Linked DNA regions of Schizosaccharomyces pombe. The gene in region 1 interacts genetically with each later gene. Each region holds a gene or a part of one and is shown in the gene's direction. Other genes may lie near its edges. The genes, in order: rxt2, gmh6 and med13.

What was found.
Region 2: of rxt2 (region 1) and gmh6, changing one enhances a phenotype caused by changing the other (phenotypic enhancement), as found in Schizosaccharomyces pombe (2 studies listed by BioGRID, with this or other methods).
Region 3: of rxt2 (region 1) and med13, changing one enhances a phenotype caused by changing the other (phenotypic enhancement), as found in Schizosaccharomyces pombe (2 studies listed by BioGRID, with this or other methods).

Annotation. Positions count from the first base shown.
Region 1 is NC_003423.3:451,379-455,137, reverse strand, and holds the start of rxt2 (Clr6 and Rpd3L histone deacetylase complex subunit Rxt2), read left to right. Parts: upstream 1-2,092; 5' UTR 2,093-2,098; coding exon 2,099-2,124; exon of another isoform or gene 2,125-2,173; coding exon 2,174-2,208; exon of another isoform or gene 2,209-2,258; coding exon 2,259-2,383; intron 2,384-2,432; coding exon 2,433-2,541; intron 2,542-2,721; coding exon 2,722-3,149; 3' UTR 3,150-3,759. Other genes in the region: pleckstrin homology domain protein Meu6, read right to left, coding at 1-136, 194-470, 541-908.
Region 2 is NC_003423.3:4,408,107-4,411,865, reverse strand, and holds the start of gmh6 (alpha-1,2-galactosyltransferase), read left to right. Parts: upstream 1-2,159; 5' UTR 2,160-2,677; coding exon 2,678-3,759.
Region 3 is NC_003424.3:3,097,023-3,100,781, reverse strand, and holds the start of med13 (mediator complex subunit Med13), read left to right. Parts: upstream 1-2,114; coding exon 2,115-2,156; intron 2,157-2,191; coding exon 2,192-3,759. Other genes in the region: mtx2 (metaxin 1), read right to left, coding at 1-35, 115-675; protein Noc12, read left to right, coding at 952-1,299, 1,363-1,521. UniProt on the Schizosaccharomyces pombe protein: Component of the srb8-11 complex. The srb8-11 complex is a regulatory module of the Mediator complex which is itself involved in regulation of basal and activated RNA polymerase II-dependent transcription.

The DNA of each region.
Region 1 (3,759 bases):
CAATGGCATTTTTGAGATCAGTAATCCATGTATTTTTACTTTCTGGGTCTAGGGCTTCAAGTGTTTCTGATTTACCATTGTTAAAATTGATGGTGAATTTGTTTCCAGTACCGGGTTCTATGGATACTGCATCAGTCTGAAAATACAGTTAGCACGGTTAAAACTAAAAATCAGGGGAATTAGGAATTCTTACCAAATTAATGATTCCGCTTGGGACACTAGTTGATTGAGATTTGGAGTAAAAGAGTAAACCACGGCAGTCTTGAGTAGCTTTAGCGATACGGTTAAGGTGATCATTAGCAGACTGGAAGAGGGAATCAGCATCAGAGTCGTGCATTTGCTCAGAAGCTAAGGAAGGTTCCGTTGGGTTACCTTGCAAAGTACCATGGAAGTGTTTTTTATAATAATGGTCTAATAAATCCATAGACATAGGGCCTTCTAGCATATAAAAATACCTTTTCATGACATGACTACATGTGGTTAGTAAGATTACTCAATCGATTGTTTGATTTTTAATAAATGGATGCTGTTTTGACTTACGGAATAAGTCCGTTGGATCGACAGTATAAATACCCACCAGTGGTGTAGGTCAATGGTTTTTCATCCTTGGCTTTCTTCTTGGATTTTTTTTCTTCAACCTTGGGAGCTGCCACGCTGTTTGGATCATCATCTGCAGGATCGATATTGTCGACTGTTTCAGGCTCCTTGGGTTCCTCAGGTGCTTGTACTTCTGCAGGAACAGCGTTTTCAGTGGCATCATCATTGTCGGTTTCGTTGCTCAATGGCACCTCCAGTGTCTCCACCTGGGCCTCAGCAGATCCCGAATCATGTTCATTGTGTTCCGACACATTTTCGAAAGTAGGTTCAGCAATCTGCTCAGGTCGTTCTTCACGGCCCTCATAAGACATGATAAGAAGTCGAAAACAACAGTTAGGCTCTCAATTTTGGATTTTTTTTATGCTGTAAATATTTGTGGTAGAGGAAAAGTCTGCGCCAAGCTGGTTATTTGAATACCAATTGTTGGCGAGAATGTAAACAAACAAATCGACTACCTAATATACAAACAAACGATGGACATCAATAGAAAAGGGAAAATACATAGAATTTACTTTTTAAATGTTAAAAAATTTCTACTAATTCATTCTTATTAATAAAATCTTCAACGGCCATTAAATCTTGTATTCGCTCATTCGTATCAAAACATATACATTCTTCTGGAATCGAGCTGTCTGCGATTGAATGAACTATATAGTATTGAGAGATTTTACAATTAAGTGTTTGTCTTTAATTTCTAATTGCGACTACCATCCTAAAATTTTCATTTGAGTTGAAATCTGTTTAACAACAACAGATGAGCCATATTTTTCATTGACTTTATACATGATTGTCACCATTAGTTCCTTTTTTTATAAAAATTAAATGTTGTTTAACTATTCTGCTCATTTGTTTTGCTTAAAAACTAAGTAGGTTTTAATTGGTAAGAATTTTACGAGATTTTAAATTTTTATTTATTTACTTATTATTTTTGACGAACGCTAGTTTCAAAAAAGCAAATCCAAACTCGAGGTATTTTCAAATTGTTTAAAATTTTCAATAGAATGGAAGGATGTTTTTTAATGCTTTCCACATCTTTGAATTGGAAATTTCCTTTTAATATTTACACTTCTTCCAAGAAAACTATAGCAATTTGTTTCATTATAACGACATAAGTTTGTAGGAGAAAAAGTGTGAGAATATAAAAGTTCCATAATAATACATTATTCTCTATGGATTAATTATTTTTTTTAAATATTTTTTTAAGTTAAAAAGCTGGTCTTTCCATCCATGTAAAAATTGGAAAAGGAATATCGAGAAAGCAAAATAAACCAGGCCCTACCTGCGGAAAGGGATTTTTCTTATTATTCAAGAATACTAGCAGCTTACCTCTAACGATTAAAACAATGTATATTTTTGTTTCAATACTATTTATTTATAAATTGAATAAGTAACCCAACTTACGCCAGGTTATTTTCGCATTTTATGTAAACGCTATAATGCGATAGAAATCGCTAATTTGTACTGGATTGAGTAAGTATGAATATCTGACGTGCCAAAAACCATGAAGCAATTTGAAGAACAAATTGAGTAGGTTTTTATGAATGTCACGTATTATGTATTTTTCTAACAAATTTAGAAGGTTTAAGCAGGCGTTATTTGAAGATTCTGATGGTAATTATTGTCAAAATGAGATTTATAATTTTCACTAACATCTCGTATAGCCTCGGATTCCGACTCTTCCATTGGAGAGGCACTTACAAATCGTGGATTAAAAAGAAAGAAAGGATCGAAAAATGTATATTATGGTTGCGTCGGTAACTCTAGTGGCTCCTCTATAGACATTGATGTATGTGTGAGTAATTGGGAATCGTAAACTGCTAACCACTACTTTATAGTACTATAACATTGGTAATACTAAAAGAGGAGTTGTCTCTCATTTTCGAAGGAGAATAGATCCGGAATGGTTGGACCATGATAACCCATATAACGATATAAACATAGCTGGTAAGTCGTACACACACTTAGTTATGTTAGACATACAATTTTTTTGATTCATTGTGCTTTTGGAGATTTCGTGTTGTGTTTTCAAAGATTGATTATGAATTGAATTGAAATATTAGTTATCAGCACTCGCCAATCATGGTCATATACATCGATCGCTTGCTAACTCAGTAAAAATTATAGAGATCATGTCACCGCTGACAAAACCACAAGACTTGCTCACACATCCTGCTATATCTTCCATATTTGAACAAAATTATTTATCAATCCTTGCTTCTTCTGCTCTTGAAATTATATCTGCTGAACACAAATATACTGCTCATCTCGAACAATTGATGGTTGCACTTTTAGGTGATGACCCATCACTACCAGGACCACCTCATGAAGTGTTTGGGATTTCTCCTGAACAGTGTAGAGAATTGACGATCACAGTTCAAGAAGCTTTGGAAAAAAGCAAGGAGTTTATTAGATGCTGGACAAACGTTCGCATGGACCTTCTTCGGGCCATTCGTTTTAAAAACAAAGTCATTGCTTACTGCCAAGGTGAAGACTATAATGGTAATACCCAAGTTTTGTCTAAAAATGAGAGTGATGGAAAACCAAATTCCTAAAATTTATTGATTTCTCATCAATCTTTTCAATTTCATTATTTTGAAGCTGATGAAGCGTATAAGTCAGCAAAATAAAACGTTGAGAATATTATTCTTTATTCCATTCGATTTACAATTCCTTTTTACGACATTATAAAAATAGAATTATCCTTTTTTAAAACGTCTTTGGTGATTTCTTCTGCAATGAAACTTAATTATTTCTTTTACTTTTTCATAACGTTGGGTTTTTTCTCAAGCTTGGCATCCCCAGCTATTAGAAACTTTGTCTTATAATTTGAGATACTGCTACTTACATATTCCCTTTGGCTATCCTAATTTCTATCCACACTTTTTTCTACTTATTCTTTCCAAGGGAAGTACGTTTACGTTTGCTGTTACATAATTTCATTTATCACTGTTGTATATTTTTTCGTTCAATCAACCGACTAACATGTGCTTGCCATTTGTATGTTAATACATTACTTATCCTTTATTTTGCTTTTTCATTTCCCCAAAGTATTAAAATTGTTATTTGTTGTGAAATTGCCCAACCTTCTTTTTGTTAGAACAATGTAAGTGCTTGAAACAACAAGATTACAAGGATTTATCGCAAAACATATTCAAGTAAACA
Region 2 (3,759 bases), 4.0 Mb from region 1:
TTGAACTCGCTCATCCAAAACTATTATGACTTTTAAAGCAATATTATCATATTTTTCGACCATATAGGTATTATGTGATTGGTTGATTGAAAGGCTGGTTGCTGATTGGTTTCGTTACACGAATATTATAATTTGACGTCACATTACGAGAGATATGAGAAGGAAAGAGAATAACATGTTCCACTAGGGAAACAGAATAGCTATGAGTACCAGTGTATAACGATATTTTGAATTTGTTGAATTCATCATCACCGTTTATTTTGGTATCAGTGATGGATGATAATTCATGGCATTTACTAATATGGGACGACATATCGTACATTTTTACACAAGTAACGGACATGAGCGCAAGACTGAACACAAGAATTAATGCTAACACCTCATAAGAAAAGTTAACAAGGTTGAGGATTGCTCTATTTCTCTTACTTTTTTTTAATCAAGTACTAACTCTATAGTGTACGTGTCAGTGGCTATTAACTCCCAATTCATTTAGATGTCATCCGGAATTAAAAAACGGATAACAAATTTCGGATAATGACTAAATATTGTTCCAATGTGGCACCTCAACTTTTGTACCATCGCTCTCATCCCTTTGCTATATTTCCGATATCCGGTTGTTTTACAAAAATTAAACAAGGGATTACTCGTCAACAACATACTCAACATCAGGTTATGATGAAGTTGTCGTTTGCTTAGCGAATTTTTGCTTGAGGTATACAATTTACTCAGTCCCTTCATTGGCTTTATCAACATGCCATAAATTAGTTTAAAAAATAATTTATCGTCATTACAATATCGGTATATTAGAATATAATTATATACTTTTACTATGAAATAATATTCTGTCTTATTCTCTTAAACAAAATTGCTTTGAAAATAAAAAAAATGATTGGCTGTTTAAAAATACTTCAACCGTAATATTGTATTATTGTAAACGAATATGTAGTGGTATAGCAATCGAATCTGGGGCCTTTCTATTGGTTAAGTAATTGAATAATTTTAACGGCCGATCCGTGAATCTTTATACCATAACAATTTTTTAGCTAAAGACACGGAATCGAAACATCGCTAGGTGATGAGTTAGTAAAGAATAAATATGGCTGCAATATTAAGCATGGAGAAGGACAACAACTCCATATTTCTTTGATTTGCTAGTTAAAATCTAAATTGCTATTGGTAAAGTACACAAAAATACAGTTATTGCTGGGCAAATTTTAACGTTATCATGAAATAAAAAATCAGTTCTAGAAAATAGTTACGACTTTCTTCGAAGCTGCAAACTTAAATTCCAAGAATACTTTGAATAGTCTCTGTAAGGTCTGAAGCGAATTCCAAAATGCTATCATTTGCTTTTCTGAGTACAATTATCGCATATATATTAAAAATTTAAGGTGTAGTGCATCCAAAAAAAAAAGAACGATTCCAACAGATATATTAAAGAATCTTAATTTATTGATACTTACATTCCGATTGTGCAAACTAAAGGTTAGACTAATATTCTTCTCAAAAAATTATACAACAATAAAAAGTGAAACCGATAAATTGAAAGCGACGCTTTGCATTTTAATTTAAAAATCCAAGCACTTCAGAAAAATGTTTGCCAATGCAGCAGAAGAAAAAGCATCAAAATTGAAGTATAACGAGGTTTTACAACGTTTAGAATCTCGTTAATCACAAACGTTTGATATATCGAGAATTCTTCTTGCTTCATTACGATATTTATTAAGTTAGCGATGCATTTTGGTATCTGTTTTAACGATAGTACTGCAGTGAGTTTTCCTTGTGATCTATTATATTGCAATAAGAAGATAATATAAGTACCATAAGTATAGGTATTCTGTTAAGTAGGTTATATAGTTACCTGTCACTAATACTGCTTATAACTAAATCTCGCTCCTCAGTTCATGTAGCTCTATTTAATAATCTTTCTAAAATATTTTAACAATGGGAATCCATGTGTATAAAGATAGTTATATATAATTATTGATAAACATATCTTAACTGATAATCCAACATATGGCATATAGTGATACTGTAACGTAGCGCATATTACGTAGTGTAGTTATGCTAATATATTATAAGGAATAGTGAGTCATAGCGTATATACTTATTTGAAATGTACTAAATTTCAACGCGTACATGCTTTCCTTCCCTTCATTATAACTACATCAAAAGTTTTAGTAGCTTTCCTCTAAAGCACTTAACTGAATGGTAACACGAGAATCGGTCGAAAGTTTATTTTATTTTTTATAGGTCACTCTCTATAAAACCTTGTATCTCCACTTTACCGCTACGTTCATTATATTTGACATACACTCTTTCAGGACACTTGGTGATTATTGCTTTGGGTAAATAGGGTATATTTTTTGGTGTTAGTAAACGATAAGATTAAAAAGGTACTTTAAATTGTCTCGCCTGCTATTGTGAGCATGTGTGTGCTGTGAAGTGCCTACGAACATCTACCTCTCACATTCTGAACTTATCTAACATCTTAGTTTAGGCTAAGTATTTTATAAGAAATCTTAGCTTTTATTGCATCAATTTTTAAAGAAGGATATTTACACCGCTCTTTCTTTTCTTCGCTATCATTTTTATTATCATTGGTATTTTTTCATTACTTTGAACATATTTATTTATCCAAGGATTGGTCAATTCTAATTTCTCTTACATACTTACAATGCGTTGGTATTCTTATGTTATACCAGCAGTGATCCTCAGCATAATTGCTATTTCTGGAGTATGGTGGAATGCTACCCTTGGTACTAGGCTCGACCAGAAAGTACAACTTTTCTTAAATGAACATTCTTCAATTTTGAATGCAGTTTACGAAACAACTACTATCGTTTACACAGAGCCATTACACACCAGTGTCAGCGAAACGATTACATCTACGTCTTTTGTTACAGAAACTACGACAGTAACCCCAACGGTTACTGCCACAGCTCAAGAGTTAAGCACACTTAATCCTCATCCTGAAAATTCTAAGATAGTCCTTTTGATGGGTTCCAATGCCCAAAATGACCCTTCCTCACCCTTAAATCCTTATATTAGAACGATTATTAAAAATCGCCGCGACTATGCAGAACGTCATGGTTTTAAGTTTGAATTTTTAGATTTAGATGAGTACAAACCTTCAATTGGCGACAAGCCTGCCCCTTGGGCTAAAATTCCCATGATTAAAAATGTGATTAGAAAATATCCAGATGCTGAATGGGTATGGTGGTTGGATCACGATGCTTTAATTATGAATCGTGATTTGAATCTGGTTGATCACATTTTGAAGCATGAAAAGCTAAATTCTCTTTTATTGCGCGACACCGAATATTTTAGTGGATTTGGCATTGACTCTGAAGGATTCCGAACACCTAAAAATCAAGACCCTGATGATATACATTTTATCATTGCTCAAGATTTTAATGGCATTAATGCTGGCAGTTTTTTAATAAGGAATTCTGAAGTAGGAACATGGATGCTGGATTTTTGGAATGAACCACTTTATAAAGAACATAATGGTGTATTTGTCGAACAACAAGCCCTTTCTCATATGATATATAGTCATCCCATTGTGCATAAACATGTTGGGCTAGTTACTCTTCGTTCAATAAACGCATATGATTCTTCTGATCCTGCTTGGGGATATGAAGACGGTGATTTATGTGTTCATTTTGCTGGGTGCTTTGTCTTTCAGACATGTGCACAAAATTTTGAAAAGTATGGCAAGATTATCACAGAAAAGCAAGGCCATGATTGGTTCGATCC
Region 3 (3,759 bases), on another chromosome or scaffold:
AGAGCTGAAAACGCCTTCGAAGCATCCTCTAAAATCTAAGCTTTGTTAGTACAAATCATGCTTCAAAATGCTCGGTCTAGAAGACTAACTGCTATCAAAAATTATTAAACGTACCGCATCAAAATCAAGAGTTGATTCGTTCAACTGAAGACAAATTTTTCGTTTAATTTGAGAAGGTAACCCGATTGATTTAATAATATTTAAAGGCCAAGACATGTTAGGTAACCATTTTTTTTGAATTTCAGAAAAGTTCTCGTTGTCCAAATACATAGTTAAGAGAATTGCCGTTTCTACTTGATTTATCAGCAAACTCATCCAAGGAGAGATTTGCTGCAGTGTTGACTCATCCTTTAAAAAATATTGTAAAAGAGATGGATTGAGGACTAATTTTCGAGATTCAATTTGAATAAAAGGTACTTTCTCATCTGGAGAGGCGTGGTTAGACACATTTAAAAAAACAATTGAAGGGTCGTTTAATTTTGCCCAGGTTTGCCATTGAAGACTATTAACGTCCAGAGCCTCTGAGTTCAAGTCGGAATTCCACATAGTCAAATACATGACTGTTTTCGTTTTGTAATCTTCATTTTCGCCCGGGTAAGGATTAGAAAACGTTATTAAAGGGAAGCGGGAGAAAATGGAATGAAAATAACTCGAAAATTTTGTTAGACCGCCCATCCTTTTCACTTGTCACTAAGTTTGCTAATTCTAAAGAGTTTACACCAATACCATCAATAGTGTGCTTAGCGAAATTGTTAGATTAAGTGGTAAAGCGTGCAATTTCTTCAAATTTCTACCTATATTGTAGTAGGAGAAAATATTCTGTTGTTTCTACTATACCAAGCATTAATTCTGCATACACACTTTTCTATTTTGCGTTGGATTTTCACATCCTCTAATAATCGATAAACTCGACAAAAGATTGTATTTATTTTATTTGACATAAATCATAATATGGATTTGTCTTTATTTTCAGATATCAAGGATGTCGTCGAGAGGGACATGAAAAAAAATTCAAAAGTTGTGGAAAATTCTTCTGCTAGATCACTAAAAAACAAAACAGAGGAAAACAAAACTATTGATAAACATAAAAGTTCCGTTGGTCCTAAGGAACCCAAATCATCATTGGAAAAGCCTAAAGCGAATCGGAAAAGAAAGCAATCGTATGGTTTACTCCATGATATTAAAGAACTCGGAGGTACCGAAGAGGATCTGGAGCTGATTGAAGATGTAGAAAGCGATGAAGAGTTGGAATTCGAAGAACCCAATCGTAAACAACCCAAGAAGGATGGGACTGATGCTGTAAGTCAATATCGATGTTTCTTAATTACTTCTTTCAAAAGGTTCTAATATCCTCTGTTTTAGTTTGCAAATGAGTTGAATTTGTTCGCCAAAAAATTGGGCTTTTCTAAAAACAGCTTTGATGCTCGTGCTCTAGACACTGAGTCAGAAGATGAAACCGAAATCGAAAAAAGTTCGTCTGAAAATTCTGATTCAGTTGATGTCGATTCGGATGATGAGTAAAAAACGCTTGACAACTAGTTTATTTATTTAAAAATTTTCCTTCTTATTATAACTTTATAAGCAATGAGTGTATCTGTTAAAACTGATTGGGGAATCCCAATTTCTCTGTAATCTTCTCGTTCACTTTTCAGATGCCATCACTCATGAGTTGTTTAAACCATCATTCAAGAGGAGTCTTAAGGGAATGTAATGTTTAACTAACATTATACTGAGGGATAGGTTCATACATATTACCTGAAGGAGTTGCAATTGTGTTGGACCTTTATTGCTACACTTTCATTCATTTTAATTATTTGTAAAGTAAGGATAGGAATTTAAGGCGGAGCATTCTTTTTTTATTAAAATAGCGGTCATTACGGGATTAATATAAACATTATATGTCAGTATATATTTCCTTCATCAATTTCGAAGCATTTATGCTTATTTGCATACTAAACCGTTAGTTTAATGTTTGTTTATTTTATTATTAACAGTAAAAGTATCAGGTGTGTTTTAAGAAATATGTTAAAATGAGACAGTGGCCGCATGTGCTTTCTTTACGCGTGTACGCTAGCTACTTCCTCTTATATAATAATCTGCCATTATCCTCTGCCATGGTACATGATGGAGTTCATCTAATTAGTATTAAAACAATTGTAATTATTTCTATTATAACATGATAAATTAAAAGCTAACTGATCAGCCTTGCCCTAACACTATATATTATGCGAAGTATCAGGTTCAGCGAAAGGACAATGAGGATGCTGCTTCCCTCTTAGAAGACAAAGAAGCTTATCTACGAAATCAGGATTGCATTGTTCACGCGAAGAATGACTTACTTTTTGTATATGATTTTCAAGCCATTCCATCTATTCCTGAGGAATCATCTTCTTTTATGCTACTTAATTCAGGTGCATTTTCCAGATTAGCTCTTTTTCAAAAAGATGAATTAGCTCTTCTATTAGACCTGTATATAAACTTTCTTCAAGGATTGAAAAAAACGGTGTTGTATTGGCTGTGCAAAGAATACAACTTTGTTCCAATTTATGGTGTCCTTCTTCCTTTAAAATTACACCCTTCTTTCGATACCCAGCTCTGGAACATATATGGATATCCTGTTGTGGATTTACAGCTTTCTGTCTTATCGAAAGGCCATATAGAATTTTACTTAAAGCCTACAAGGCAGACGGTATATCGTTTGTCGGAAGTGGATAATTTGGTTAAAAAGTTAGACACTGTCATTCGTTTAGCCCCGACTGGTTGTTTGGCAACATTAACCTCTGTGCATGCCAACGCATCTGCTCAAACTGTTGATGCATTGAAACACCGCTATGGATTCTCTCTTACGACTACTTCAAAGTGGGTGGGTGTTACCTTAGAATCTTCGGCATTAGAATTTTCCTGGCCTTTAGAACTTTGCTTTTTGGAAACGTCGGCCCTTCGAATGAATGATGATTCATTATCTAGCAACCTTACAGATTTGAATAACCTAGTCCTCCCTTCAAACGTCGTAAACAATAAAAAGGAATTAACTGAGTTCGCAAATGAAGAAGCGGAAGCTTCAGATAAAAGAAAAGAAGGTTTTACAGAAAAGGAAGAGACTGCTGATGCCGTTGTAACCTTGGTTCCTTCTCATAGTTCTTCTCCCGTTAATTATTCGATAAATTCTGCAAAATCTACACCTGCTTCAATAAAAGTAAATGAAGAGATACTTGTTGCTGATCATAATGTTTCAGATGACATACTAATGGAGGAAATAGACGATGTTGGAATAACAGAGGCTGATTTTGATTACTTTGACTTACCTAACGTTGAAGAAAAAGTTGAGATGATTGAGCCTAATTTTGCAAATACTATGACAACCTTAGATAATGAGGAAATCAACACTTCCATCTCTCAATCAAACACCAGTCCAAATTTGAATACTCACGAAAATATTCCAAAGCAAATGGAAATTCAATCGGATGATAGAATGGTAACCGAAGATTTAAATCCATACAACGTCGAAGTTGATATTCCTGAAATTTCTTTAAATATTTCAGATTCTAAAATCCCTACATCTGCGTATATGCCTTCATACTATTCTGCGGTAATTTTTCCCTCGTCTATCTCCAGTATTTTTCAGAAGTATAACTATGGTGGTAAATATTGGTGCCCTTCTCCTTCTTTGTCAACTGAAGATTTATTTGAATCATTTTCGGTCGCTGAATCGGTAACTAGTACAGATGAAGACATCTGCTCTACAAACTTTATACAACA